4 linked regions of the Elephas maximus indicus genome follow. The protein of the gene in region 1 interacts with the protein of each later gene in a pairwise test. Links are inferred from orthologs where the notes say so. Each region holds a gene or a part of one and is shown in the gene's direction. Other genes may lie near its edges.

The links.
Region 2: the proteins of RBPMS (region 1) and ZNF488 interact in binary tests that used the Homo sapiens proteins (3 or more experiments, as listed by UniProt). The two-hybrid records come from large-scale screens. The link is inferred for Elephas maximus indicus from reciprocal best matches to the Homo sapiens genes RBPMS and ZNF488.
Region 3: the proteins of RBPMS (region 1) and C3H1orf94 interact in binary tests that used the Homo sapiens proteins (3 or more experiments, as listed by UniProt). The two-hybrid records come from large-scale screens. The link is inferred for Elephas maximus indicus from reciprocal best matches to the Homo sapiens genes RBPMS and C1orf94.
Region 4: the proteins of RBPMS (region 1) and VENTX interact in binary tests that used the Homo sapiens proteins (3 or more experiments, as listed by UniProt). The two-hybrid records come from large-scale screens. The link is inferred for Elephas maximus indicus from reciprocal best matches to the Homo sapiens genes RBPMS and VENTX.

What each region holds. Positions count from the first base shown.
Region 1 is NC_064840.1:69,843,275-69,851,325, reverse strand, and holds the start of RBPMS (RNA-binding protein with multiple splicing), read left to right. Parts: upstream 1-4,865; 5' UTR 4,866-5,404; coding exon 5,405-5,470; exon of another isoform or gene 5,471-5,796; intron 5,797-8,051.
Region 2 is NC_064834.1:304,605-312,665, forward strand, and holds the start of ZNF488 (zinc finger protein 488), read left to right. Parts: upstream 1-4,778; coding exon 4,779-4,966; intron 4,967-5,969; coding exon 5,970-6,119; intron 6,120-8,061. UniProt on the Homo sapiens protein: Transcriptional repressor. Plays a role in oligodendrocyte differentiation, together with OLIG2. Mediates Notch signaling-activated formation of oligodendrocyte precursors.
Region 3 is NC_064821.1:75,208,365-75,215,921, forward strand, and holds the start of C3H1orf94 (uncharacterized protein C1orf94 homolog), read left to right. Parts: upstream 1-4,243; 5' UTR 4,244-4,753; coding exon 4,754-5,082; intron 5,083-7,557.
Region 4 is NC_064834.1:82,821,251-82,828,528, forward strand, and holds VENTX (homeobox protein VENTX), read left to right. Parts: upstream 1-4,141; coding exon 4,142-4,379; intron 4,380-5,851; coding exon 5,852-6,012; intron 6,013-6,096; coding exon 6,097-6,477; downstream 6,478-7,278. UniProt on the Homo sapiens protein: May be involved in ventralization.

The sequences.
Region 1 (8,051 bases):
GATTCTCCTCCATGTGGGCGTCTCCATGTGGCTGCTAGAGTTTCCTCAAATGATTAGAGGGAAGTGATTGGATCTGAGAACTACTTGGGAGGTAAGATCAGGGGGAGACAGTGATGGCCTGGAGGTGAGTGGTGTGAGGGAGGGAGAGGTGTGAGGATGGCAAAAATCAGCAAAGCACATCCTCTGGCCTCAGGACCTTTTTGGTACAGCATAGGATACAGAAGTTAACAATCACAACACATGTGGTAGATACGCAGCCTTCTACCTCAGAGCTAACACAGGTACAAAAACCCATGCCGCACAAATAGCCTCGGAATAGACCTTTAATGTCTGCAATTCTCAGAGACAAACACGTAAGACATAATTACAGGTTTGCATTTCTTAAAGCAAGCCTCCAAATGAACACTGCCAGAGAAACAGAGATGAGTAATAAAAAATACAGGTGTGTACAGTATTTCCCTTTCAATCTAGCATGTCGCTTTGTAGGCCAGACAGCTGTGCGGTAGGGTGGTGGGCAGGGGAAGAAGCAGATGTTACTTGGTCATTAGCCCAATTTTTCCAGGATATAAAATCCCTTCGTTGTCTTATAATTATATTTATGTGTCTGGAAACTATTGCTACTGAGGCGATCTCATGTTTGAAACTTTTCTTCTTTGAAGTAGTGAACAGGTCATAAAGACCATTTATATCCTGACATTTTCCTCCACGCTGTCAAACTCTTTCCCCTCACTCCCAAAGTTTTATAAATAGCAAGAGTCTGTTTACAGATTCTCATTGGGTTTTGTTTGGTAATACGTTACTCTATCATTCTTCTAAATAAGTCTAAACCATGCTTTATGGAAAGGATAAAAAACCGGAATCCCTCTTTTCCTGGCATATAATTCCATCCGTACGTGCTCTTCCGAAAACATCTTCAATTTCACTCTCATCATTGACGGTAATATTCTAGGTCTCCCTGCTTGATTGCAAACTACCTGATGTATCAGAAGGAACCCCGGTGGGGCAATGGATTGCTCGGCTGCTAATAAAAATGACAGTGGTTTGAAACCACCAGCCACACCCCAGGAGAAAGATGTGGCAGTCTGCTTTCTTAAATATTTACACTCTTGGAAACTCTATGGGCAGTTCTACCCTGTCCTTTAGGGTCGCTATGAGTCAAGATCTAATCCATGGCAGTGGGTAACCTGGTGTATCAATTGTTGTTGTTGTTAGGTGCCATTGAGTTGGTTCCGACTCATGGCGACGCTACGTACAACAGAATGGAACACTGTCCGGTCCGGGGCCATTCTATTGTCCAGACTTTGCAAGCATATGAGATCGAAAATACTATGGCTTGGGTCAAGCACACCTTAGTGGCATCTCAAAGGGACATCTGTGCTTTTTAACACTTTAAAAGGTCTTTTACAACAGATTTGCCCAATGAAATACCTTGTTGATTTCTTGACTGCTGCTTCCATGGGCGTTGATGGTGAATCCAAGTAAAACAAAATCCTTGACAACTTCAATCTTTTCTCCGTTTATCATGATGTTGCTCATTGGGCCAGTTGTGAGGATTCTTGTTTTCTTTATGTTGAGGTGTAATCCATACTGAAGGCTGTGGGCTTTGATCTTCATCAGTAAGTGCTTCAAGTCCTCTTCACTTTAAGCAAGCAAGGTTGCATCATCTGTGTGTATTGCAGGTTGTTAATTAGTCTTCCTCCAATCCTGATGCCCCGTTCTTCTTCACACAATCCGGCTTCTTGAATTATCTGCTCAGCATACAGACTGAATAAATACGGTGAGAGGATACAACACTGAGGTGTGTGTCAGAATGTATCAATATAGTGCCGTGATTTTATTTTTTCTTTCTTGAAATCTCGTTAGGTGCCCCACTGTGTACAAGGTCTCTATCTAGAGTCTGCCCCTTGGAACAAAATAATGAGTAGAAATCACTGCCATGACGTTATGGGGGCTCTCCAATCTCAGATGTCCCCACTAATTTGGTCCTTCCTGCCGGATCTTGGAAGGATCTAATTCATTCAGACTAGAGAATCAATAACTGATGACTTAATGTGTTAATTCATTAAAAATTAACTATTGAGTGCTTACTATGTGTTCAGGAGTCCTGGTGTTGCTACGGTTAAGCTCTCAGCTGCTAAGCAAAAGGTTGGCAGTTCGAACCCACCAGAAGCCCTGCGAGAGAAAATGTGGAGATGTAGAGATTACAACCTTGTAAACCCTATGGAGCAGTTCTACTCCGTCCTATAGGATCTCTATGAGTTGGAATCGACTCTACGGCAACAGGCTTGGTTGTTTTTGGACAACGTGTTTGGCACTGTCTAGATATTGGGAATGCAACATTGAACAATCTAGACAAAGATCCTCTCATGAAACCTATTCTTGTTTTTTATCCCGGAGGTTTTTGACTTTTAACAGTAGACAAAGTCCTGGCTTGGCTGAAAGACAAAAGAATCAGGTTCTACTCTGAGAATGAAGCTACATTTCCCTGTGTAGGAGGACGTGAGGTTTTCCCAGCATCCTGAACTCACACAACGTATTCCACCTACTCATCAGTGGGGTCTGACTGGAACCATCAATGACTACATCAACTGTCACTTTTCTTGAGCGTTTGCCAGGCTCCAACAAGACAATCCCCTTCTGTGGAGTGTCCTCAGTAACAGGCAGGAATAGCCAAGGAGGACAAAGTTCTGCCATTATTGACCATCTCTGGGGCCCAAGACCACCACACAATCATTGCTCAGGAAGACATTGCCCCCTTGTGGTCACCTCTAACCTTTATAACTGAGGGAGAAGCTGGCAGTGGAAAGAGCTCCCAATTAAGACAAATGAATAATCAAAACAAGGACAAGTGAGTTACCAAGTTTTAGGAACAAAATAACCCTTGTCCTTCTCAGCTTCTTTAATTGTAGTTTCAATAAACTCTTGGTTTAGTTTCATCCAGGATTCACTTTTGTTACCATAGAGAAATGATATTACGACAGCAATTAAAGAAAAACATTTTTTTTCTTACAGAAGACCTTATCCTTATCAAAATCTTCAGATCACCAAGTAAAACCCAATATGTAAGTCCAAGTATCACTACTGCTTTTCTCTTCATGGTATGCTTGAAGCAAGTATTTTCTACATTTAGACAATTAAACTGCTTTTGACAATTTAAACCAGAATTCTGCAATTACGTTGCTGTGGCGTTGTTTTGGGTATCTTGTCTCCACAACACCACTTTAAACTTCCCAAAGGCAGAGGCCTCATCTGCAAGCCCTACCACACTTGCAACAGCACGTAAACCAGTATACTAGGGTCCAGAATGTCCAGTGGGGGAGAAAGAGATAACGTTACAAAAGCAAATAAACAAAAAATAAGTGATTAGAAATTGTGATTTCTGCTGTGAAAGAACAGCATCATGTGAAAGAGAATTCCTAGCAGTGGCAAGCGGGGGGAACGTACCGATGTGGAGTTTTAAACTTATGTTTGCAGCAGTCAAGTTGGAAAGCTTAAAGGAGCCAGTATTGGAGAATCCCTCCAAGGCCCAGCAGAAATGGAACTTTTCTTAATAATCATGTTGGCTTCCATATATTGTGAACTTCGGCTGAGCAAGAATGGCTGTTGGGTGCTACATTTTTATCAATCTATCTTGTTACTGTTGGTTCTGATTCATGGCGACTCCATGTGTGTCAGAGAACAACTGCTCTACAGGGTTTTCAAGGGTGTGACCTTTTGGAAGCAGATTGCCAGGCCAGTCTTCCTTGGAGCCTCTGGGTAGGTTCCAACCACAGATGGCTAGTAGCCCAGCGCTAACCTTTTGTGCCACCCACGGGCCTCTCTATCAATCTATAATCTTCTTCAATTCGCATGACCCTGGGAGATAAGCATAGCTATTTCTACTTTACGGAGACTGAAACAGAAGCCATGCAGTCCTTCCAAGGTTGGTGTACAGTGAAGGGTTTTTTTTTTTCTTCTGCATGCTTCGAGCCATCTGAAGATCAGCTCTACTGACCTCAAGTTCTGCTTAGACTGAGGAATGTTCACTTGGCCAACAAATATTTATTAAGTGCCTACTATATACCAGGTAGTGTATTTAAATAGCCGTGGGATTAAAAAGATAAACAGGGCACGGTCTTTGTCTTCTTGGAAGAAACTCCGGGAAGAGTGAGGAAAACAGCCAGGTAAACAAATAATTCCAAAGAGCCTGATAAGGGCTGTGGGAGGTCTGAACAAGAGCTATGAGGAGCCCAGAGAGCAGCAGCCCGTGCAAGGAGGCTGGAGAGGCTTCGGTGGACCGGACGTTCGTGGTGGGCTTGAAACTGCGCTTTAAAAAGCCGGTTGGGAGCAGGCTGCCCCAGGGTGTCTCTCCAGTTCCTTCAGGCCGTCATTTCAAACTGCTGGCTGAAGGGAAGAACTGTGCCTAAACGAGTAGTAAAAGAGGGTAGACTCAGGGACAGGGGTGCAAATCCCTCGCGGAAAGCCAGCAAGCTAAAGTAGCACACCCCAGTTCCCGCTCTCCGCACTGGCAGGGCCTGTTTCCCCGAAGCCCCTCTCCAAGCTCACGCGCACGGACACGCGAGTTCGCAACTCGGACCCCGCTCGGCCGTGGGGCGCAGCGGAGCCCGTGAGCCCGCGGCGCTGACCTTCCCCCCCTCCGGTGCCTTCGCCCTCGGACCTACCGCGAAGTCGCGGGCTGGGGTCGGCCGCTCCCGCCCGCCGCACGCCGCCCCTCCCCGGCGCGCGCCATCCGGCCGCCCGGCAGCCGCCCTCGGTGCAGCCCCTCCTCCCGCGGGGGGCTCCGTCGTCCCGGTCCCGTCCCTCAGGGCTGAAGCCCGCAGCCCACGTCCTGGGAGGGCGGAGGGAGGAGGAGGGGAGAGGAGGGCAGAGGGGAGGGAGGAAGGCGAGAGAAAGGAGGCTGCTCCGATCGCGTCCGCCCAGAGCCAGCCAGCAGCGCGCACTCGGCGGCTCTCCGGCCCCTGCGCCCCAGCCGCCCCGAGCCCGCGCCCGGCGCCCGCACCAGCTGCTCCTCTCGGGCGCCCCTCGCGCTCCCCGCTCCAGCGCCCGCAGGCTCGGCAGCGCGGCCCCGGCCCCAACTCCAGCCCCAGGCTTTCCTCCTTCCTTCCCTCGCGCCCGCCGGCCCGCCCTCCAGGTCTCACTCCCGGGTCCCGATTGTCTCCGTTCCCTTCTCAGTCCGCCCTTGCCCTCGCCCTGCCCGGTCTCTCCCTCGCACTTCCTGAGTCGCCGGCCGCCGCAGCCTCGCCGCGCCGCGGGAGCCCGCGCAGCCGCTGCCCCAGCTCCAGCCTCCGCAGCCGGCGGCGCCCCACCCGAGGGAGCCCCGGTGCCCCGGGAAGGGAAGAGTGGGCGAGCGCGCCCTCGCCCAGCCCCGCGCCCCAGCCCCGCCCGGGAAGAAAGGACCGGGAAGATGAACAACGGCAGCAAAGCCGAGAAGGAGAACACCCCGAGCGAGGCCAACCTTCAGGAGGAAGAGGTACCGAGTGGCCCGGAGCGGTGGTGGGTGCGACCGGGGGCGCGAGCCGCTGGCTTTCTCCAAAGTGCCGGGAGGGAGAAGCCGGCGGGGCGCGGGCGCTTGTCCCGGGGCGACGGGCTGGGTGCCCCTGGAGGTTTGAAATATTGTCCTTGCCCCAAGACACAACCCCACAATTTGGCCCCGGGAGGGTGTATCTTTGGAGTGTGTTTTTGTGTGTCCACGCGCGTCTGCGTGCCTAAAATTGCGTAACTTTGAGGACTTCTCGGAGACTTCTCTAAGTATAATGATCAGCTTTGTTTGCTTGGGATTTTAAAAGAGGAATTGAGAGGTGACTCCTGGGTGACCTCAGATTATTAGGACCCGCAGGGTCAGGGTTTAGTTCTGCGTTTGAGATTGGAAGTTATAGTGTGTGGGTGTTGTAAGAAAGGCGGGGACAAGTTCTCGTTAAAAGATACCTTCTGTCCCCCGCCCCCCTCCCTTTCGGTGTTAAAAGTTCTTGGTGAAAAATCTTTCAAGCGGAGGCATTTTGGTTGAATAGATAACTCATTAGCCTCATTCTTTGATGAGTCAAAGACCCCGAACCTGGGCAGTTAGCTTTTGCAAATTTAGGGACGATGGAGATGTGGGAAGACGAATAAAAGGGTTAAAAACCTAACAGTTCACCAAATGACCCTTGAGGCTATTTCTGAACATAAATTTTAAGTGATTTGTCGGTAGTAACGGTAGAACTTTGCGGCTGCGAAGCGTTCCTTTGGTGGAAACAACAAAGCTCAGTAAATGTAGGGAGGGACTCAAACTTTTCAGGATTTTGTATATAGGATATTTGTGGTACCCTATTAAATAGCTCCGTTCAGGCAGGTACAGAATCTAGGATGCAAAGAATAGTATTTTTCTCTTACTTTTTAAGATCTCAATCGCCTGAATTCTTAAACATTTTAAGAGTTTGTGCAAATGCTAGAAAGTATGTGTCTAGATCTGACCTAGATACCATTGTTAGGTCTTGCATCCTAATGTATAAGGTGAATACAGTGGTAAGCCAATTCAGAGTGATTCAGAAACTGAGATTATTATTGTAATACTGTGTGTGCAAACAAATTCAGATAGTGAAACCAAACGTGGGGGAATTCATTAATACACACAAGCCAGCTGGATATTGTCTGTCTGTTATATGGGAACCACTTCAACGTGGAAGATAGAGAACTAAGACAATGTAAAATGATGGAAAATAAATGTAGGATTCTCCTCTTTAACGTTTGTATGATAGTGCAACCTAGGTGAATTGTGGTGAGATGAAAATTGCCTTTTCACTTGAGGAAATTATCTATTTTATGATGAAGTATTATTTTGAAAAGTTTTCTTCGCATGTTTTATTACAAGCGAAGTAATACTACTGATATTTCTTTACTTTTTCAAAGAGCTGGAAATTTGAATCGCAAGTTCCACTTTTTTTTTTTTTTTTTTACTGGTTGCTTTGCTATTTATTTCCCTATCACTTAAGTAAAATTTAAAAAATGATGGCAAGTTTGTATTTTTAAGGAATGCAATGTGTTTAATCCGCTTAACACACCAAGACAATCATTGCTTTCGTTAGATATTTGTTTCACTTACATGGGCAATCTCTTTACTTCTAGGGGTAAAAACAGATACTACGAAACCATCTTTCTCTCATCATCCAGTTGTGAAAACTTGTAATTGGGAAAAAGTTGATCAGGCACACCAAAGATTATTTTTTGCTTTTGGTAGGCAGCAAAAGAAGTTTGAGTGTTCCAAAAACATGACCCACTTAATGAAATTAAGTAGAGAAAAGTCACATTTTTCTGCTGGACCTGTCTCAACTGCTGCCAGGACTGAGGTTAGGCTGCCTTGTTCCTGAGAGCCTTACCATTAATGTGTGTGAAATTGCACACCAATACAACCACAGGCAAGCTCGGGACAGTGACCGCCTCCTACCTGCCCAGTTGCCCTGTCTGTGTTCCTCTTCAGGTAGGAATGACATGTGGCTCTAAGAAAGTGTCACTATGTTTATCAAAACTTTTGTTATTTTAAAAATAGGTGGGGAGCCTCAGGAAGATTTCAGAACTCCGGTTGTACAAGAGATGGGGTGTATAAAACACACACCGTGAAGACCGGGTCTGTGTTAGGAATTCAGGAAAAGAAAATAGTGGCCCTGAATAATCCAGGAAATTTTGCTCCAGTTTCCAGTTTTGGGTTTTGTTTGTTTTTCGAAGACTCCTAACCCCCTTTTCTCCCCTAACCGTGAAAGCCACAAGTAAAATAAATGGTATTTGGTGAGTTCCATTAATGTCTTGACATGATACAAAACCACCACACACAGGACTCTCTCCCTGCCCACCCACTGGATCAGCAGTTCTTTCTCAAACACATTTAAAAGCCTTGGCAAAGGACTCTAGTAAACAGAACACACACATATAAAATGTATATATGACGCACAGCGACAAGAGAGGAAAAATGTGTTTTGTTGTAGTTTCTCATGGCTGTTGAACTGACATGGAAAAGTGAGTCCAATCCTAAAGAGCAAATAGTTTATTTCACAGATTCATCAGAGGTTTATTTATATATA
Region 2 (8,061 bases), on another chromosome or scaffold:
ATTTTCTATCCTATAGTTCAATCCAATCCCTGTCTGAAGAGTTGTCTTTGGGAATGGTTCCTGTCTTGGGCTAACAGAAAGCGCGGGGACCATGAACTCTGGGGTCCGTCTAGTCTCAGTCAGGCCATTAAGTCTGGCCTTTTTACAAGAATTTGAAGTCTGCATCCCACTGTTCTCCTGCTCCATCAGAGATTCTCTGTCGTGTTCCCTGTCAGGGCAGTCATTGGTTGTAGCCAGGCACCATCTAGTTCTTCTGGTCTCAGGCTGATGTAGTGAACTGAGACTATTGAGGAGAGTAGAGGAGAACAAGATCTTTAATGCTATATTCAAAGCGAGGAGGGCAAAGAATGCATAGTCCCATCCATTGCTTAGGCCAGCTGGTGCCTTTGTAGTGAGAAGAAGGAAGGAGCAGGTCTGTGGCCTGTGGAACATCTGGCAGAGAACTGTCCTCCAGATGAAAACAGCCTGGTGGGTCCACGTAGGAAAGGAGGAGCAGAGCTGCTGTGTATGTGATCACCTTTCCTGACCCAAGAAGTCACTTGCCAGGGCATGGAGTGGCCCCAAAATTGAGGTCACATATCTGCAGTGTCAGCTGAGAGCTCAGGAGAGGGGAATGAAGCTTGGAGATGGATGGGGCCTTATTTTCAAAGAAAGAAGCTCACAGGCTGAAGTCTGAGGTTGACACTGGGCAAGATGTTAGATAAAGGGAAGGTCTGTACGTCCTTACACAAGGTCTGTACATCCTTAGGAGAGGAGCTGGCAGGGGCTCACTAGGCACTTGCCTTACCTCAAGTAGTGCTGATGAATGATAGTGATGACCCTCAGACCTGGTGATGTGCCAGAGGTCCCTGGCCAGTTCAATACCTTTGTGTTCTCCTTTTCCTCCTTCTCATTATTATTCTTATTATGATTTGGATGACAACCTTTATGGAGTATTGACTAGATTACAACATTTTATGAAGCTGAATGGGGTATCTGAAGTTGGCACGATCTAGACCCATAATGGTCTCAGAAAACCAGAGTGCTATGGTGAGTTTGGCAAGATGGCATTTGATGGGTTAGAGATAAATGCAGTACTGTTTGCCCGTTGAGGGTGCACATGAAGTTGAGTTTCCCAGGATCAACATCAAATAAATGCACTTGGGTTGAGACAGGCAACTTACTTCATGTAGTTGTGACAATTAAATGAAATTAGGTGTATCAAGCATCTGGCATGCAGGGAGTGTTCAGTGAACAGAGACTTTATTTTAATATTTTGAAACACCCTGATAGTAAGCATTCCATCCTACTGTAGACCACATGCCCCAGTTTTTAGTTCAGAGAAGAGGGCTACCTCATCTCTGGCTCTGGTGCCCCTGGACAGTTCTGGTGTCAGTGGCCTGTGCAGCAGTGGTGGGTAAAGGCTGCCTGAGCTGCTTTGATGGCAGCCCATGGGGTAATCTGGAGAGGGTGACACAGGAGGCCAGTGAGGCCAGAAGGACAGCAGGGGCAGAGTTGAATCCTTCCCAGTGAAATCATACACCGGTAGCTCAGGACACCAGCAGTGATTTAACCCAACCCCTGTTTGACAGATGGTAGACTGAGGACAAATGGTTTGCTCCGAGGAACTCAGTGACCTTTGTTGCTGCCTTGACCTCTGCAGGAAGCATAGGTTAACATTGTTACCTCTGATACCGGTGACAGCCCCTTTGAAGAATTGTGTGGCAAAGATGTTAGGAGTGACTCTGATCTTCCTGGCAGCACACAGTATGGTATGACAAAGGAAACAGAGGCCCAAGGGTCCCATGGAAGGGGCCTGAAGGGTAGAGCTGGCATATGTTTCCTCCTCTTCGTCCTCCCGCTGCTTTCCTCCTAGTCTTCCTCTTCCCTCATCTTCCTCCTCTTTCTTCTACTTTTCCTCCTCTTCACCCACCTGCTCCTCTTTTCTTCTCCTCCTCAGTGCCCTGTCACTCGTGCACTTCCCTCACCTGTGATTTTTTAGGTCTTCTCTTCCACACTACGCGCACCTCAAGTCAGTTCCACCTATGTGGCACAAGCACCCAGCTAACAAATATTTAACAGGCAAGCAGAGGAGAAGCAAGTGGATTAATGTGCAAGGCTAGTCAAGAACGAATACTTTTGGCAAGTGGAGTTAGGAGACTCACTTTGGGGGCAGGGCTTGGTGAAGAGGTGGCTGCAGCCCAGATGTGGGAGCAGGGGCAGGGGTTAGGCTCAGCCCCCACCTACCTGTCAGGGTGTTTGTTGCTCCAGCTTTTATCACTCCATGCCTGCCAGAGCTTCTGTGCCCAGGTGCCTAAAGAGTCCTAATGCTTGAGGATTGGGGAGAAACATTAGTGTGCCTACCAGCAAGGAAAGAAAGCTGCCCCGAATTAGGGTGCAGACTCATTACACTGTCCACCAAGTCAGAACTGGTGGCACAAGAAAGCAGTGTGGGCTCTGTTAATAAGCAAACTGCTGCAGGGGGCCGGCAGGTACAGCAGGAGTTCTGGCAGGCCATCCAGGGCAGCAGGTCCAAGGGGGTTGCCTGGCAGGCTGCGGCTGTTCTTCCGCATTGAAGACCAGGAGGTGGAAATGGAAGAGAGCTTAGAGCCGCCATGTGTTGATTGCATCTATAGCAGTTAGCGTTCTGTGGATGCAAACAACGAAGGCCGGCTCTTGCCAGCTTAAGCCAAGAAGAATTAATTAGAAATGATACCGGAGGGCCAGGAGAGGAAAATCTAGATGATGGTGTCAATGGGAGGACTGGAGAACTAAGCTTGAAAAAGACAGGGACTGAGTTGCTTTGGAGAGTCCCAGTAGTGGGAACAAACGTGTAATTTCCCCAACTGAAACTGGGTTTAATTAGGAAAGATTCTGGGTAGCATCAAACAGAACAAAGCAATCTGATGTCTGCTTTAATGTCATACCATTACCAGCTGCTTTGGAGTCGATTCTGACTCCTGGCGACCCCAACTGTGTCAGTAGAACTGTGCTCCGTAGGGTTTTCAATGGCTTATTTTTCAGAAGTAGATCACCAGGCCTTTCTTCTGAGGTGCCTCTGGGTTGAACTTGAACCTCCAACCTTTCAGTTAGCAGCGGAGTGCGTTAACCTTTTGCTGCGCACAAGAACTGTACTATTGTCACTTGTTGTTAGTTGCCATTGAGTCAATTCTGACCCATGACGACCCTGTGTGCGCAGAGGGGAATTACTGCAGAGTTTTCAGGGCTGTGACCTTTCAGAAGCAGATCTGCAGACCTATCTTCCAAGATGACTCCGTGGGTTTGAACTGCCAACCCTTCAGCTAGTAATGACGTACTTAACTGTTTGTGCCACCCAAGGACTCCTCTGTTGTCATAGTGATCACATAATCCTTCTGTCCATTGGCTGGTTTATGAATCTGGGGCAAAAAGGGGCCCCTCAGTCCAGCTTCCAAGAAGCTGCTGCTTACCATGCCCATGATGTCCCCAGGGGTCTCCTTCTCCAGAGTCTGCGAGTCTAGCAGGATATCAGGGCTACAGGCTCTGTGGCCAGGGCAGTCAGCCCATGCTGGTTTCTATGCCCTGAGCTTGGCTTGGTAACCCTCTTGGTGTTTGCTGCAGATAAGTTTAACTTCATAATCAGCTTTCTGAGGGTCCCCTGGAAGTCTGCACACAAGGAAAAGTTACCAGGGAAGTTATCTATAGGGTAGCATGAGGACATGAGCGTTATTGGCTGTTGTCGTAGTCATCTGGTGCTGCTATAACAGAAATACCACAATTCAATCCATGACAGATGTCAAGGAGTTGGTGTTCTTCAGTAGAAGGAGCTGTGCAACTCTTCAGCCCTGACTCTGACCCTCACCCCTTTTTCTTCCCTACCATCTAGCGGAGCTGGATTTCACAATTGGGCCAGGTCTGGCTTAGAGTGAATAGGATGTTAGCATTAGGGGGCTTCTATGTCTTGCTGGGCTCCTGTCCCTTGACCTTCTCCTTATGGCTAGAGCATGCCCAACCCTTCTTTTCTGCTACGACTTTGCCTATACATTTTCACCGTCTGGCTTGGTGAGCCCCAATTCAGCCATCAAAACCCAGAATTAATGTCACTTCCTCAGTGGGGCATTCCTCAGCCCCCCTGGCACTGCATGGTCAGTGGTTCCCCATCCCTGACCTTGCAGTGTTTCCCCTGCACCTCTAATGCAGTGCTTTTGTCAGCCCTGTTATAACTAGGCATTTTCTTTCCTTACTGTGAGTTTTTGAGGAAGTAGGAGCTCTGTAATTTTCACCATTCTGCCTCCAGGACTAGCAGAGATAGCTAATTATTGAATAAATGAATGAATATCATGTCTACATTGCAGGAGAGCCAAGTGAGGAGTCAGGAATAGTTGCGGATTGAACCAATCAGCAGAACCTGTCATTGTGGCACATATAAAGCTCACTCTGTGGGAAGGCTGAGGGGACACAACCATAGAACTATGTCCCTCAAATGGTCTCTTCTCTCTCCCCAGCATCCTGTGAGTTATAAAGGTTTTCTGGGCTGGACCCAGCTCATGGTGGCTTGTGAGAGCCAATTGGTAAATTTTCAAGAATTTTCTGAGCCAGCTTTTTCTAGTATTTTTGTGGCTAGGGATCCCTGGAGGAATTTGAGGGCCATGGTACAGGTGGGGAAAGGTTTGGGGCTAGGCATCTTTATGTAGTTTCTCTTTTTTCTCAATATTTTTCTTAACCTGTGCTTGGCCCAGAGCTCCAGCTTTCCCATGCTTAGAAAGCAAAGGAGCCCTGAGCTTCCAACAAAGGCCTGGTCACATGTTACTCCATTGAGCATGGCCAGCTATGGTGTTGGCCAGGAGCCTAAGGATCTGTGCCTGCAGCATTTCATCGCCATGTTCGTCTGCATCCAATCCTTGGCAAGTCTGGGGCTGCTGTTTCTGATCGAGCCTACCTTGGATATTTCATCTGGCATGCACCAGGACTGGCATTCATGTGTCAGACTTCCTGCTCTAAATTCCAAGTAAGGCCTCTAGGACACGCTGGAGCTTGGCTCCCATTCACCTCCCACCTCACCCTACTCTCCCACCATCTTGAACAACTTGGAATTCTCTCAGTGTGTTAACCACCAGTCTTATGTAAACTGGAGCCTGGCACATAATAGGTGCTTTAGGCATGTATACTGAATGAACGAATCAAATGAACCACACATTGTTCAAAAGCTGAGCTATTCTGAGAGCTTGAACATTCCCCCCGACCCTGTAGTCTAAAGCTCTCCTTTTGCCTGTGGAGCTCATGGGGATGCTTGTTCAAACCCCAGCCAGGCTTGGGAGTAGGTCTCTCCAGGTAGTGTGAGATGGACCCAGAAGCTAACAACAAGCCCCCAGCCCACTGTACAGCCAGCAGGAAGGGCCCTGGACTGGCTTTCAGACCTCTTGGCTCCCCAGAGATTCCAGCTACAACAGTCCACTCTGGGGAGTGGGGATAGAATGTCTCTTTCCCAAGGGGTGGTAATGATGACGAGAGGAAAATTTACCTAATGATTATTTCCCAGAGCAGATGGGAAAGTAGCATCCCCTGAAATCAAAACAGTTTCACTGAGCTATGAGAATGTTCTTGTTATGTGTCATCAGACTGATTTCAACTCACAGTGACCCCTTGTGAAAGAGAAGAACTGCCCCATAGGGTTTTCTAGTCTGTAATCTTTATGGTAGCAGATCTCCAGGCCTTTCTCCCATGGAGTAATTGGGTAGCTGGGTAGGTTCGAAGCACCAGCCTTTCAGCAGCCAAGTGCTTAACTGCTGCACCACTATTACAGGAGGCGGGGCCAAGATGGCGGCATAGTCAGATGCTTCTGGTGATCCCTCTTACAACAAAGACCTGAAAAAACAAGTGAAACAATTATATATATATAACAAGCTAGGAGCCCTGAACATCAAAGGCAAGGCTAGGAAATCAGACTGAGTGGCAAGGGGAGGGAGAGATAGTTCAGAAGCCACGAGGAGTTTCCGGACCTGACTCCGCAGGAACCAGCGCCCCTCAGGCACAATCCCCTGGCGTGACGGCAGCGGGGCTGGCGGTAGCGTTCAGGATGCGGTTTCCTCACGGAGAAACAATGAGCCGCACACTCTACTCACCCCTCCAGAATCGGAGGAGAACAGCGCTCACGGCAAAATGTAAGTACTTATGTCGATTTTACCATGTCCCTGACCCCCAAGCAGGCTTCAGTGGCTGTCAATTTCCCTGGGCCTGAGATAGGTCCTGCTGCACATCCTAAGCCATTCTCCTGGCCTTGGAGAAGGAATAAATTAACAATTGGGGGAAAAGATAATCTGCCAGCTCCCCTAAGCTGGGGAGCTCAGGACAGAAGCGGCTCCTGTCCCGGCACAAACAGTCTGCAGACTTTGAATACCTTTCACCCCTGCATGGATCTGTGTGGGCCCATTTCAGAAGCTGAGGCCATTGATGGCAGACTCTTAACGGTATACGGGCTTGAGATCTGACTTCAGCTGTTCCAGCTGTGTGGTAGAGGCAGTTTTTTGATGTTTGAAACCACTTTGCCATGTGGGAGTCTATCAAGAGAAATAACCTAGGAGAGATTGGAGTACCAGAAAGGGAGGGAGAACAGAAAATACGGAGCGAATTGTTGAAGATTCGTTGGCAGAAAACTTCCCTGGTATAATAAGAGAGAAACAAGTATCTATCCAAGATGTTCGTAGAACGCCACGTAAGGTAGACCTCAAAAGAAAGTCAACAAAACGTATTATAATCAAACTTCCCAAAACCAAAGATAAAGGGAAAATTTTAAGAGCAGCTCAGGATAAACGAAAAGTCACCTACAAAGGAGAGTCAGTAAAAATAAGCTTGGACTACTCGGTAGAAACCATGTAGGCAAGAAGGCAATGGGACGACTTACATAAAGCACTGGAGGAAAAAAATGCTTGCCAAGAATCATATATCTATCCAGTAAAACTGTCAGATAAAAGACAAAATTAGGACATTTCCAGATAAACAGAAATTTAGGGAATTTGTGAAAACCAAACCAAAACTACAACACTAAAGGGAATTCTCTGGTTAGACAATAATATCAACCCAAGACTAGAACACAGGACAGAACAACTAGATATCAACCCAGACAGGGAAATCACAAAAATATATCAAGATAAAAAAATGCTCAAAGCAGGGAAACAGCGATGTCATTATGGAAAACATTAAATCAATAAAGAGGGACAAAGAAATGTAGTCATAGATCTTTCCTATGGAGAGGAGGTCAAGGTGATATAAAGAAATAAAAGTTAGGTTTAAACTTGGAAAAATAGGCGTAAATATTAAGGTAACCACAAAGGACACTAACAATCTTACACATCAAAATAAAATACAAGAAAAACATAAAGACTCAGCAAAAAAAAAAAAAAAAATCAACAACAAAGAAAAGGGGGAAAAGACAATATATAAAGAAAAACTACTCGGCACAAAAAAAGTGAAAAAAGAAGCTGTCAACAACACACACAAAAAGACATCAAAATGACAGAACTAAACTCATACCTATCCATAATTAGTTGAATGTAAATGAACTAAATGTACCAATAAAGAGATGGAGAGTTGCAGAATGGATAAAAAACACAATCCGTCTATATGCTGCCTACAAGAGACACACCTTAGACTTAAAGACACAAACAAACTAAAACTCAAAGGATGAAAAAAAAATCAAGCAAACAACAATCAAAAAAGACCAGGAGTGACTAATTTCTGACAAAATAGACTTTAAAGTTAAATACGCTACAAAGGATAAAGAAGGACACTATATAATGATTAAAGGGACAATAAACCAGGAGGGTATAACCATATTAAATAGGCACCTAATGACAGGGCTTCAAGATACATAAACTCCAACAGCATTGAAAAGTGAGATAGGCAGCTCCACAGTAATAGTAGGAGACTTCAACATACGACTTTCAGTGAAGGACCGAACATCCAGAAAGAAGCTCGATAAAGACACGGAAGAGCTAAATGCCACAATTAAACAACTTGATCTCATAGACATATACAGAACACTCCATCCAACAGCAGTGAAATAAACTTTCTTTTCCAATGCACATGGAACATTCTCTAGAATAC
Region 3 (7,557 bases), on another chromosome or scaffold:
GTGGTCATTTTGTGTGGTCATTGCAATGGGTTATCAAACCCAGATGAGCAGTAGAGAGTGCCATGGGAGGGATGGCTGGTGTCAGAATTGGTTAAAAGGTTGGAGATAGGAGGTATGTCTGACTTCTACCTCACAGGGATCAGCTTTTTGCTGATGGTGATTCACATTGTCTCCCCTGAATTTAGATAGGTGATGGTGTTACTATTACTACTACTAGCCCGTTTTTACAATCAGGCACTTATGGAATGTTTTTCCTTCCTAATTAGACTGTGACTTTGTCTAGAGTAGAGGTCTTACTCATCTCTAACTCCTGTACCTTGCACAGTCTTGACCCACACACAGTAGGTGTTCACAGTGAACTGAAAGGTGCCATCTGCTGAAAAAGATATGCCCACATCCTAATCCCTAAAATCTGTGAATGTGGCCTTATTTAGGAGGAAAAAAAAAAAAAAAGGTCTTTGTAGATGTGATTAAGTTAAGGATCTTGAGACAAGATCATCCAGAATCATCTTCATGGGGTCTAAATCAAGTGTCCTTACAAAAGAAAAGCAGAGGGAGATTTGGGACACAGAAGGGATGAAGGCAGAGATTGGGCTTACGCAGCCACAACCCAGGAATGCCTGGAGCCACCAGAAGCTGGAACAGGCAAGAAAGGATTCTTCTATAGAGCTTCTGAAGGGAACATGGCCCTGCCAACACCTCGATTTTGGACTTCTGGCCTCCAAAACTGTGAGAAAATAAATTCCTCTTGTTTTATGCCACCAAGTCTGTGGTAGTTTGTTAACAGAAGCTGCAGAAAATGAATACTCAAAAGGAACAGATCCTTGGGAGGCTCAGGTGATGCTTTGATTCCATTCCTCCAACACAGAGCAATTTCCCCAGTACGCCTAAAAGTACAAGTGAAGTTCTCCCTCCTCACACATAACATGAAGGCCTGTGATTTGGAGATACGCATTTCAATGTAATCAGCAAGCAAACTACAACACTTTTATGGGCTAGGTGTTGTTCCTGGGACTTTCCATGTGTTTAGTAATTACTTGATAATAGAACATCTACACAGGTACAACAATTCTATGAGGTGGGTGTTCTTTATTATCATCCCTATTTTACAGATGAGAAAATGAAGGCACATAAAGGTTAGGTAACTTGTCTAAGTTGACATTGCCAGAAAATTTGAACTCAGAATTTGAACTCAGGCAGTCCGGCTTAAGAATCTGTTTTTGCAATAGTGGAAATATCTTCTGCACTGTTCACTATGGTATAGTCTCTAGCCACACATGGCTATTGAGTACTTGAAATGTGGCCTGTGCCACTGAGGAAGTGAATTTTTAACTCTATTTAAATATATTTAATTAAATTTAAAACAGATATGTGGCTAGTGGCTATCATATTGGAAAATGCAGCGTATACTTTCTCTAAGTACATTACTTGAGGTCTTTGCAGAATCTTCTAGAAACCTCAGCTGTATATTCCAAGAAGCAAACCTTCATTCACAGTCCCTACTGTATTTTTTTTTTTTTCCTAATCCTTTCTGATTTAGACCCTGTTGCCCAGTCTCCTGCTGAAGAGGAGAGAGAACAGGAGGAGTGAGTAAGCTGGCTAACTTTCCAGAATCTGTGGTCTGGGCAGCGCAGGATTGTTGGCGTTCTGCTCTAAGCATAGGGTGTTAGCCAACCAAATGCCAAGCAGCACAAACACTGAGTGACATTTTCAGAACTATTAATATTTCATCAGAAATGATCACTTTTCCTTTAAATACACTATCTTAAAAGGTTTTCTACATTCTTAACTATAATTTTATTCAGTCTAGGTCCTCAGAATTTTCCCCAAAGGAACACATCTTCAACTTTATAATGAAAATCAAAGGGGAATGAAACTCGGATTTCAAAATTTAGAGTCAACATTTCTAGGAACTCAGCTCCTCTGTAAAGAGCACGGTCGTGTATTGGGCACCTACTGTATGCCAGGCACGTTACATACAGTATACCATTAATTCATTCAACACATATTTATTGAGTACCTACTGTGTGCCAGAAATTTTATTCCCATGATAATGAACACCATTTTAACAGAAAAAGGACTCTCATGCTTCTGTTTTCTCAGAGAAGCCTGCCTGGACCATCATCTAATGTTGCCCTTTTCCCTCTTTCTCTCCCTCTCCCCTTCCCCTCCTCATGCCTCACTTGTTGGTTTCCATCACCAAACCAAAAACCAAACCCAGTGCCGTCGAGTCGATTCCGACTCATAGCGACCCCACAGGACAGAGTAGAACTGCCCCATAGAGCTTCCAAGGAGCACCTGGCGGATTTGAACTGCCGACCCTTTGGTTAGCAGCTGTAGCACTTAACCACTAAAAAAAAAAAAAAAAAAAAAAAAAATTTTTTTTTTAACCACTACGTGCCCCTTATTTCATCTCTTAAACATAAATAAATAAATAAACCAAACCAGTTGCCTTCAAGTAGATTCCAACTTTCGGTGACCACATGTGTTTCAAAGTGGAACAACACTGCATTTCAGAAGTATCAGGCCTTTAGAAGCACCTCCGGATGCATTCGAATTGTCTTAGGGTTAGTTGTTGTTGTTGTTGTTAGCTGCTATAGTCAGCCCCGAATTCATGGGGACCCCATGTGTTAGAAAGTAGAATTCCTTCATGGAGTTTTCTTGGCTATAATCTTTATGAAAGCAGATCTCCAAGCCTGTCTTCCATGGAGCCACTGAGCGGGTTGGAACCTCCAACTCTTAGGTGAGCGGTTAAGTGCAAACTGCCTGTGCCACCCAGTAGCCAAGCTTTGAACCCTTTGTGCCATGCAGGGATCTGTACCCCATTGCCATCAAGTCGCATTCAAGTCAGAGCGACACTATAGGACAGAGTAGAACTGCCCCATAGGGTTTCCAAGGTTGTAATCTTTACAAAAGCAGACTGCCACATCTCTCTCCTAGAGTAGCTCATGGGTTCAAACCACAGACCTTTCCCCTTAGCAGCCCAACACTTAACCACTGAATCACCAGGAATCTATAATTAATGTTTATTTACTTGCTTGGCTAGTCTGTGGTCTATCTCCCTCCATTAGATTATAGGCTGCATAAGAGCAGGGACCATGCTTTTTGTTTATTCTCATGTTTCCTCAATTCCCAGCAAGGCATGGAGGAAGCGTTCAGCCAATATTTGGGAAATGGATGAATGAATGAGGATGAGAGAAGTCAAGAAAGCTGTTCAGGGACACAGGGCTTGGAAGTGACAGTTCAGGATTCAACCCAGCCCTACCTCCTTAGGCTGCCAGCTGGCCTATTTGCATCCATTCTCCTTTCTTCACCTCTTGCTCCTCCTTCTCTGGGGAAACTCTGGAGGAACAACCACTGAGTCCTGAGGCTAGAGAGCCCCTGTCCGAGTTTGCTGATTCAGTTCTGAGTTCAATGAAGCACAGGAAAGAGCTGTCTATCTCAGTGGCTCAGGCCTAGAGTGCCCAAGTTTGAATCCCAGCTCCCCATTTCTTAGCTGGTCATAGACATATCCCTTTGTGATTGAGCCTCCGTTTCTGTATATGCAGACCGATAATAAACGATAGTAACTGCGGGAGCTTGTAAGGATCAAGTATGAGAACGCAGAAAGCTCAGAGCTTGGCACACGGCAAGCGCCTGACTGAAACGGCAGTTAGCGGTAAAATCTGGCTGACAAAGGGGCAGGCCCCCTGGCTGGCGCGACGTTTGTGTTTGGTAGCTGACCGAGGCCGCAGCCTGTCTCCTCTGGTGAACTTCTAATGGGGGAAAGCTTCCCCACCGGGGCGCCGCCTCACCCGCCCCCAGCCCGCGGCGGCAGAGGGCCTTGGGCACCGAACCTGGGGCGCCCCGCGCACCCAGCCGTTGCATTTGAAACCCACAAAAAGAATTCCACCGCTCGATGGCAAGGTCGTGAGAGCCACTGGCACGCAAACAGGCCAAAGCCGCCTCGCCCCGCCTTCCCGACGGAAACAGCACCCTTTTAAGGCGTAGGGACCCTTCCTGGTGCCCATCCCCGCGTCCCGGTTCGGAGGACGTGGCAGGTGTCTGCTGGAGGTGCTGGGGGCGGGCTGCGGAAGGCCGCAGAGCGCGCCCCAGACTTACCCGCTGAAGTTTTCTTTCTAGAGGGCGGCAGAACAACCCCTGGAGAAGGGTACAGGCGGGGGCTAGTGGGGCGAGCAAGAGGGGACACAGCGGGGGGAGGGAAGGCAGGGGCCGTTGGCCCTCAGGCTGCGCGGGGGTCCCTGGGAAGGCGGAGCTGAGACTCTAATGGTGGCCTCCTGCCCCCACCGTGCCTAACACGGTGCCAGGCTCTTAACAGGTCATCCGCTGGCTTAGTGGGAGAGAATGGGCTGAGCCCCAGCAGCCGCAAGGTGCCAGGGGTGTGTCGCAAGGGGGGAGTGTCAGGGACTGTGGGGGAGAGCCAGCCTTCCCCCTCCAGCTGTTCCCAGATGTCATTCTGCCCGCCCAGGCGCCTGCTTCCTGAGCTGCCGGGGATTCCACGGTTACTAAGCTACTGGTTTTTGTTGACTTTTAAGTATTTTCTTCTAAGAGAGAGGGGGAGGGGGGCAAAAGTCAGGAAAGAGCAAATAAAAACAAATCACACAAAGCTCCCCCTCCCCAAAAGAAAGCTCTTCACTCACCACCACTCACACCCAAATCGAGGGCCTCTGAACATAGTCACCTTGCTGGAGCAACAACCAGACAGAACTGACCTGCCTCTGCCAGGCCCCATCCTCATCTCCCTTCCTGGTGAATGAGGGGTAGTGGTGGATGGTCCCCCAGTCTTCGAGCTCTGGGTGGACAAAGGGGCTTCCAGAGAGAGAGGAGGAGCATGGCCAGTGGGAATGGACTCCCTTCGTCCTCGGCCCTGGTGGCCAAGCCTCCCTCCGCCCTGGGCCCATTCCCCAGATACATCTGGATCCACCATGACACACCCCAAGACAGCCTAGACAAGACCTGCCATGAAATCTGGAAGAGGGTTCAGGGCCTGCCTGAGGCCATGCAGCCCAGGACCTGGACGGAGCAGCTCTCTGCCCCCACGCCTGGGACTTCGAGAAACAATGGACTTGGCTTCCAAGAACAGTAAGTGTCTCCCTGCTTGGATGGTACCAAGGGAAGAGGGAGGAGATGAGACCTGACCTGCTGGGGGAATGTTCTGGCCCATTGTTAAGTCAGGTTACATCCTAAAGCTATATACTTCTCCTCCCCAACCATGGTCTTCGTCCATGCTTTAGAGAGAAAAGCTGATCATGGCTGTGGATGAAGGATCAGGCCAGGGCTGTATTCCAGGCTGCCTCTTCACCAGTCCACTAAGAGAATATGTTTTCATTCTAAAGGCAGACCTAAACCAGATTTGTGTCTGAGGTCCTTGAAAAGCCATCCTAGCCAAGGCCGAGGGTTAGGTGGCTATCTCTTTTGAAGCCCATGGCTTTCCCCAGAGTCAACCAGAAGATCCTTCCTTCTTCCCATCCCTCAAAGGCTGGGCATTCACACAGATGAGTCTGGTAATTTTAAATCACATCTGGAATTCCCTAATACAGGGAGCAGCTGTCCCATTCAGCCTCCACAGAAGCCGCTGCAAAAACTCACATCAAAATATTTACTGGGAAGGCATTGACATATTCAGAGGACATAATAGAAAATTAAAGTGTGGAAAGATGGCTGTAAATAGCCCATTTCCTAGATAGGGAATCCTATGACTGGGAAATATGGAGCTCAGAGTTTCTCTAACAGAGCAAAGTTGGGCAGATATTGTTGGGGATGGAAAATCAAAAGGAGAGGGAGGAGCAGAGAGGAAGAAGGGACCTCATTAGAAAAAGAACATAAATCCAGTGTGGTTATTTATGCCACCGTTGAGCACTTCTTCAATGTTTTGCATCTTCAAAGTGGACTGCAAACGTTAACTAATCCTCCCAGAGTCTCTATGAGGCAGATATTAGTGTCCCCATTTTACAGATGGATTATGTGTTAATAATTAAGTGCTAATAAAGACTAAGTGATAATTAAGTGCTACCGATCCCAACACATGCTCCGGCTCGGTTCAGAGATGCTGTGGAGTTGGGGAGCCATTCAGGCAATTATCACTGCCTCTGGATTCAGGGATTTCCAAGCAAGAGCTAGAAGAAAGGCAAAGTGTAACTGCTACACAGATCTGCCCTGCCTGCTGCATTTACCTACTTGTGGCAGATGAGGGTGAAGGACACTGTGGCTATTACTGTCTCCCCAGCCATGTGCTCAACACGACATGGCTCTGATGGGATTGGTCCTCCAGTGATACTGAGCCCCTTGCCCCTGCCATAACCATCTGCTCAGGGACAGGGCCTTGGCAGAGGGGCTTATGGGGCTCTGCTCAGCTCCTGATGGCCGAGAGTCAGTAGCAATTTCCAGTAGATGGCACCCTTTCTGCCAGGTCACATGGAGTTAATGGAGACAGACTCTAGTTCCAGTCTGTAGTTGGCCGACAATGGAACTGGTGCACTTTTGGCCAGTTGCTTAACTTCATTTGGCTTTGATTTTCTCATCTGCAAATTGACGATGATGTGCCTTGCCTTGTCCACCTCAGAGGTGATAATGAGTATCAAATGTGATGGGCTACAGGAAAACAAAAGATGCATTATACAAATGAAGGCTGTTTTTACTATGTGACTCTTACGATTTGGGTTGTTACTGTTGTTGGCTTCAATCTGGGGTTTTCAAAGTATGTTCCATAGACCCTACAGTGCTTCAGGGCCACCTTGGAGCCAAGTGCCTGATTTCTGGGTCCCAGACCTCACTTCGACAGAGCTGTTCTGCTTTTATCTGTTTTCCTTACTGGTGTTCTGAGTAAGGCTGCCTTGGAAAAAGGGGTTCTGCTGCTGAGGAATGAGTTAGGAAACCACTGGCTTAGATGAATGAATGATATCATAATCGTAAAGATCTCAGCCAAGTAGAACAAAAAGAGCTATTACTGAAATAAAGGCAGGGTGAAGGTGGAGTCAGATAACTCTGGTTTCAGATAACATTGCAGCCCAGGGGTGACTGCAGGATTCCTGACTTCTTAAGTTCACGAAATCTTGGTTTCCTCATCTGCCAAATCAAGATGATGATTATGCATTTCATAGGGTTTTTTTGGGTTGATTAAGTGGGATATTTAAAAATATGAGTTGGAGTTGACTCAACGGCAGTGGGTTTGATTTTTTGGTGGTAATAATTAGGTTTTGTGAATTCCTAATATAATGATGATAATTGCTTTACATCCACAATTATTGTGAGGTAGGTACTATTATTAAACTCTCCATTTTTATATTTTTCATTATGTAAATTTTCAAACACATAAAAATAGAATAGTATAGTGAATGTCCACATATCTGTCACTGAGTTTCAATTATTATCAAATTGGTGCTGTTCTTATTTCAATTATCCTCCCCCCATTTTTAAATCAGGATCCCTGGTGGTGCAAGGGTTAAGCACTTGGCTGCTAACTGAAGAGTTGGCCTTTGAACCCTGCCTCCTCTGAAAAAGATTACTTCTGTAAAGATTACAGCCAAGAAAACCGTATGGGATCGTTCTACTCTGTCA
Region 4 (7,278 bases), on another chromosome or scaffold:
TAAAAAGAAAAACACAAAACAAAGTTCTGCTCTGACACACCTGGCAGCCCCGTGTGTGTCAGAGTAGAACTGCTCTATAGGGTTTTCAGTGGCTGATTTTTTGGAAGTAACCAGGGCTTTCTTGCAAGGCACCTCTGGGTGGACTCAAACTTCAGCCTTCCAGTTGACGGCCAAGCACGTTGCCCGTTTGCACCACCCAGGGACTTGGCTTGTTTATCTCCCAAGTGTAGCCTCTTTTATATCCATTCCTCTCACTGTGATGTCTCCTACATAGTGTCCCACCAATAGATGGTGTTTTAAATGTTCCCAAATCCCAAGGGAGTTCATGGGGGGCTTGCTGTGTACTGTGGGGCAGTATTTGAAGTGTGTCCTGTTTACCTGGAAAGTGGATTCTAACCTCAGGCAGGCTGGACAGGACCCTCCTGCCTCACTCCTCTCCTGTGGCCCCGTCAGCTGGTTGGGTTGTGTCCTCTAGCATCTCCTAGCTTCCCAGACCATTCCCACCTCCCCCAAGACCCCTTAGGTTTGGTCCCCGGGGCCCAGCCTCCCTGCCAGCCCCCAGTGAAGGGGGAGGGAGGTGTCCCCAAGCCTGCATCCTTGCAGCCTCAGAGGATGGGCAGAAGTGGGGCCTAATGGGGCTGAGGTGGGACGGGTTCCTGATGCTTCCCCCCAGAACAGAAGGCCTGAGCCTGGGACCTCACTCAGCAGACAGGAAACCCAGTGAGGTAGACAGGTCACCCCAGGATCCACTCTAAGGTCCAGCCCGAAGCTTCCCGCACAGGTGGGCTGCGTGGGCTCCGCCTCATCCCACTCACCCTTTCAGAATTTGAGACCCTTCAACCCACCGGGTCATCTCTTCACAGAGTCTCAGCCCAGCCGGGTTGGGGTTGTCCATACGTTGCTCCCCTACACACTCAGATTGTGTCATTTCAGGAGGAGGACAAAGGAGTCAGGGAGCCCTGGAACAAGGAGTGGAGCCTAAGGGAAGGGGAGGAAGGCCATGAGGGGAAGTGGGGGTGTGGAGGGGAGCGTGAAGGAGAGAACCTGACCTGCAGCAGGAGGGAGAAGCAAGACCCACCCCCTCCCCAGTGATGATGGGGGCACACAGCTGTGGGCTGAAGTGAGAAGGGCAGGGTGGGCAGTGGTACAGCCAGTCAATGTGGAGAAGGGGTTGTAGAGTGAGGTGTCCAGGGGGCACCTGGATGGATGGAGGACAGGCCCCTGGGAAGAAAAGGTTTGAGTGGGAAGTCTGACTTTAGAAGTGTTGTATATTAGGGGTGGGAGTTGCTTCCAAATCATGAACACAATTTGAGAAGGTGTCTGTGGAGCCAGGGGGAGTAGAGCGGGGATTAGTTAGGGAGGCCTGAAGCCCAGGGCTCACCCCTCCCCAGTGCAGGCATCATCACACATTGCGAGTGGGAGGCTGGGCTCAGCCGTCACCCTGCTGAAACATGGCTCCGGCAGGCTCTGTGGAGCCCACACCAGTGTGCAGGTGTGGGGTTCAGGAGATGGGTCTGGGCTGAAGCCACCAGGTCTGAGCTGCTATCCGGGCAAGGAGGTCTGCGTCTGTGGAGCAAAGGCTCCAGCCTATGTTTGTTTTTTTAATTTTCCAGCCTACATTTAATCATTTGGAGGAATGGTGGGCAAAGGGGCCTAGAGCAGTAGAACACTGGTGCAAGGGGGCCCAGGAGCTGGGCAGGGGAGGGCCCGGTCAGTCCACGACACTGCTGGGAGGCCAAGTAAGCAAACAGGCCTTGGCCATCAGCTCGTGGGGAGAAGGGAACACCCAGGGTATGTGTGGAGGCAAGGGGGGACTGTGATGAGGAGTGCTGATGGGGTGACAGGAGACCACCCTGATGGTAAGAGATTGTGGGGAGCTCAGTCAGGAGAGGCCCCCAGACCCCGCTGAGTAGACCTGAGGGTACCTGCAGACTGAGGTGGGACCCTTGAGCAAATTTCTTCCCTCTGTTCAGGGCAGGTGGCCAGTTTAGGCAAATGAAGGTGTTTGCCAGAGAGCAAGGAGGGGCTAGGACCTCAGGTGCACAGGTAGGAAGGTGGAAGCAGGAGCAGTGTCAGAGGAGCACCAGAACCCCACACCCCCCCTCACGGGCATCACTTGGTAGAGCTGGCTCTACAGGCACGGGGGCCAAGGGGCCAAGAAACGCTGGCCCTTAGAGAAATGAACGTTGACCGAGTTTCAGAAAGTGTGGTATGTGCTGTTTTCATGTAATAAGTGCTTTTGAACATGGCAAAAATGTTCAACAAGTGTTCCTTTTTACCTGTGCTTCTCTAGCCTGTTCAGTGCACATTGAGCAATTATTGCGGGGAGGGGGGCTGCTACCCTCAGAGCCTCTCAGACCTCCCTCCCAGAGGCAGGTCCAAGCCTTCCCCAGCGCACCCCTGCAGAAGCAGTGACCAAAGGCTGGGCGGCCAAGGCCCCTGAGGAAGGCCCAAATGGGGGGCCTGACCAGGGCGACCAGCGGGCTCCCAGACCTCGTTTTTTTCCCTCTCCCCTGTAGCCCGACAGGCTCCGGGGGTGGAGGTTGAGGGTGTATGGCCAGGGGAGTACCGAGGGCCTTTGCTATCCACCAGGTGAGTGGGTGTGGAGGACACACTGCTTACGTCCGCTGGTGGGGGGAGGGGGGAGGAGCAGCAGTACGAGCGCCCCAGGACTCCGTGCGCCCTGAGGTGCACCCAGGGCCGCTCCCGGCGGGCTCCCGAGGCATTGCCTCGCCGTGGCCATCGTCGGGGAGCAACAGATGCGATCCAGCAGGGGTCACGGGATAGAGGTCCAGGGAAGGCAACCCCCACCCCCACCCCCGGCACAGGTTGGGGGCGGGAAGCCGGCAGGAAGGAGCAGAGAGAAGCTAGTGATGGGGGAATAGCGGGGAGAGCGAGGCAATGGGCGCCCACCGCGCTGGACCCCGCTGGCTGCGTTGTCGCCTCTCTCGGGCGGCGGCGATTTTGCCGTCCGCTTTCCCCAGGCCAGCGCGGCGCCCGGAACGTGGACGCAGGAGAGTTCGGAGTGAAGCAGTCGCCGGGGGCGGGCTGGGATGGGGGAGGCCTACGTGGCCTGTCTCCCACAAGGAGTGTCGGCTAGCACAGCAAGGCGGGGACACGCGGGGCGGCCTGCTACCTGGGGAGCGGCCGCGTGGCTAAAGCAGAGGTCGGGACCGCGGCAGAGCGCGGTGGCCCGGCGCCCCCTTACCCCGGGGAGCCGTCCGCACCGGGGCCAGTAACCCGCCCTCCCTGCTGCGCAGGCGTGGCAGATCCGAAGGCGGCGCCACTAGCACCGAGTTAGCCCCTGCGGTGGGGCCAGGCCTATGGCCCGGGCTAGGGCGGCGCGAGTCGGCGCCGAGGGAGGGCCAGCCGGAGCCACAGGGGTCCTTCCCTCCCCAGCCAGACAGCCGGCGAGCGGACACAGAGCCGTGCTTGCCTTCTCCTCGGTCAGCGGGGCACCTCTTCCAAACTGAAACCTCTGTCATCTCCCCCCAGCCGCCCTGCAGTCCCAGCTGGGGAGGGGGGCTGGAGAAGCAGAACTTCCTGCCCCCACCGCTTAGCGCCGCTCGGGGCAAGCGGGGGCTGGGCGGCCCTATAGGAGGCAGCCACTCCTCCCCTTCCTCACGGCTAGGGCAGATGAAAGGATGTAACAGGTCCCCAAACCCTCAGCGGGCTGGGCAGCAGCCCCGCCCTCCCCCAGACATCTTGGAGCCGAGGGAGGTGTGAATGGCCTCCTTTGTGCTTCTCAATGAAGGCAATTAGGTACTCCTTATCTGGGGGATTTGCAGCCTCCTAAGCAAACCGACCCTTCTCCCCCCCACCACCCCCCCACCCTCGTTTATAAACTCAGCCCGGCCCTCCTCAGCCCCAGGCAGATCCTGTGCTGGGCCTGGCCAACGTGTCCAATCCTCTTCCATTTTCTGTGTGGCCCCCCGGCCCCATCTGCCCACAGTGGATCCTGTGCCCAGCCCGGCTCACCGGTCCAGCTCCACTCTCATCCTCTGCGTGGCCCCCCGGCCCTGGGGGATCTTCTTTGTCTGGCCCTCTGTGAGTGTTCTGCGTGGTCCCCTGGCCTTCGGGGGATCCTCTGAGTAGCCCCGTCACTTATCCAGTCCTCGGCAAATCCTCCGCCTGACCGGCCATGCCTCCCTCCTCCGACCTGCACCAGGGCCACAAACCACACTCCAGTTTCTTCTCCGTGGACTGGCTAGCCCAGAGCAGCCACTCGGGGCCAATATGCACGTCCAGGCCCAGCGAGGTCTCTTGGAGGGGCTTAACTGCCCCCGTCTGGGTGCCCAGCAGAGGGGAGCCCCCTCAGAACATGGCCATCGATGGGGCTAAGACCCCAGATCTGCGTGTGCGAGGGACACCTGTGGCTGGTAGGTCTTGAAGGGGAAAGTCCTTCCCAGATCGGAGTGGGCGTTGGGGAGGTTCTTGCAAGGCAAGGAACACACGAACACACCCTGTCCACTCGGTGGTTTTTACAGGGCAGTGATGATGTCCCCTTGTGAGTGAGTGAGTGAGCGAGCAAGTGAGCGAGCGAGCGCTTCCCCTCAGAGGGAAGCCACCTGCAGGCACCTCTATGGTACCAGCCCTGCAAGCCCTGCCCTGCCTCGGCCCTCTGCCAGCCACAGCATCTTCCCAGTTCCCAGCTACGTCCAGCCCAGGCCTGCTGCCCGAGGGCACTCCAGTAACTTGTCCTCGTGAAATTACCCCACCCCACACCCAGAGGGCAGCTTGTCTCCCAGCTATGCCTGTCACGCACGGTGGCTCTGGTGTCTTTGTGCATGTGGTCCTCAAGCTCTACACTGAGCCCTTGAGACCCGGGTCACTGGGAAAGACCGTTGCTTCTAAAGCTGTGAGACTGGCCAATGCAGAGAGGTCATCGTTGACCCCCAAAATGAAGGGGGTCTTCACTTGGCTCCAAACTTGAGCCCGTTCTCAGCAGACCTGGAATCTTGGCATTTTAAGAATGCTCCATGGGTGTGATTGAAGTGGCCGCTGGGGCTGGGCTGCAGACCAAGAGGCCACCTTTGCATTTCTGTGCCTGGGAGTCTCGCCTGGGGGCCTGGCCAGCGGCTCCATAATCCTTATCTAACCCTTTGTCATGTGCTGACAAGATTTTTTGCTGTTTGTTTTCTAGTCCATTGTAATTTAATCCATTGTTTTTAGGTTTAAAGTCCTACTTGGTCAACAATGAGATTGGTATCTATGATTTTTAATTTTTTTTTAAAGTTTGAGTGATTCGTTTGGAATAATTTCATACTTGGGTGAAGTGAAATATTTATTGCAAAGACCCACAGCAGGTCCAGGTTAATGGGTGTCTGCCTTGGCTCCCGACTAAATCCAAATGTGAACAAGTCGATGAGAAAGGTTGACCTCCCCTTGGCTCTCTGGGTGCCCCAGGCTTTTGTACGTAGTGGACCCTCCCCGGAAAGTCCCTCTTGCTCTGCCCCATCTGTCCTCATCTGGTGAATTGGCTGCAGGGAAAAGAAATTGCTTTCTGGAGGGATGTGAGTGAGGGTGGCTCTAGGTTGGGGCACTGGCTGGTGGAATCTGCACCAGGACTGCCCCTCTCAGCCCAAACCACTCTAACCTTTGTCTCCTTCCTCCAATACACATGTCCTGCTCTGGACCCCCTCCACCCTTGAGCTGGGAGACTGAGCAGGATATTGGAATGGTGGAGTAAGGAGAGAAACTGGAGCTGCCCCTGCTTCAGGGACACAGGGGCTGCCCATCCACCTTTGGCCGCTGCGTCTGCTGCCTAAGTAACCCCGAAGCTCAGGGCAACTTTCACATAGCGGGGAGCATGTCCCAGGTGGGTAGACTCTCACCCATCTTCCCGTTCCAGGGCTGAACAAGGAGCCAGACCCTTTGCGGGCTCCCCGGGTGCGTACGGCCTTCACTACAGCTCAGATCAGCACCCTGGAGAGCGCCTTCAAGCTTCACCAGTACCTGGGCCCCCAGGAGCGGAAGAAGCTGGCCAAAGAGATGCACCTGACTGAGGTGCAGGTGAGTAGGCCATGGGGGGGGGGAGGGGAGGCTGGGTGAACGGGGGCGGTCTGTTCTCACCCCTGCCTGGTTTGTTTCCCACAGATAAAAACTTGGTTTCAGAATCGTAGAATGAAACACAAACGCCAGTTGCAGGACTCACAGCTCAGTGTCCCCTTCTCTGGACCCCTCTACGGGCCCCTGGCCATCCATCCACCGTCTCCTGTCCTGGGTAGTGGCTTGCAGCTGTTTTACCGTGGGGCACCCCTGCCTGCCGCCCCAGCTGTTTTGCTGCCTCTGGGCTCCTTCTGGGGTCCCTGCCCAGTAGAGCAGGTCTTGATGGCCTCTGCATGGAATCCCTGCAGCAGGCAATCTCAGACACACTACCTCCCAGAGCCTGGGGGCCAGGCGCGCTTGTTGGCGCAGGCCTCATCCAGGGGCTCCTGGGGCCTGTGTGATCTACCTGAAACCGAGGGTGCCTTTTGAGGAGGCTGGCAGCCCCGAAAGTGGATGCTTCGCCCATCCCCAGGAGGTGTGTGCAAGGTCTGCCATTGCCCTGAACAGACACTAACTGTCCTTTTCATCACAGCCGCCTCCCACATGGCGGGCCTTGTGTGTGTACGATGATTCATGGTGAGTCCCTACCCTGACCACCTTAAGACTCCAGAGTTTTACAGCTGGAGACATTTTAATGCCACCCCTTCGCTGAAAACTACCGAAAGGGTCAGCATAGGGGGTAACTGATGGGTCAGGGAGCAGAATCAAAGGCCAAAATGGATGTGTTACGCATGGGGTTTTAGCATATGGTAAATGGATAATTTATTCAATAAAAGGTGTTGGAAAAAACTGGTTTTCCTGTTGGAAAAAAAGAAAGGAGGGTCCTCATTCTGCGTGCGGATCAGCTTGGTCTGCAGAGACGAAGTCCGTGAACCGTGAGAAGCAAGTGAGGCTCTACATTTACAGCTTTGAGGTTTGGGTGCCTTTGTAATGGAGCCACCACAGCTGGAAACCAGAAGGGAAATAATGACCCTTTGTCCAGTATAAAGTTGAAGCACAAGGTGGGAGTAGCATCTGCTGCTCCCGGAAGAGGCCTGTGAGTGCCAGGAACTGCCCGGGGAGCTGGATCTGAGTCCAAGTCGTCTGAGCTCCGGTGTGTCTCCACCTGAGTGTTTCTTTCCTGCAGGGTGGATCCTGTTCAGCTTTCAAGGAAGCTGAGTACCATCTGTCACCGACTACATGTCCCAGCAAGAATAAAGGCATGATCCTTTTTTAAAGTTTATCTGCAGA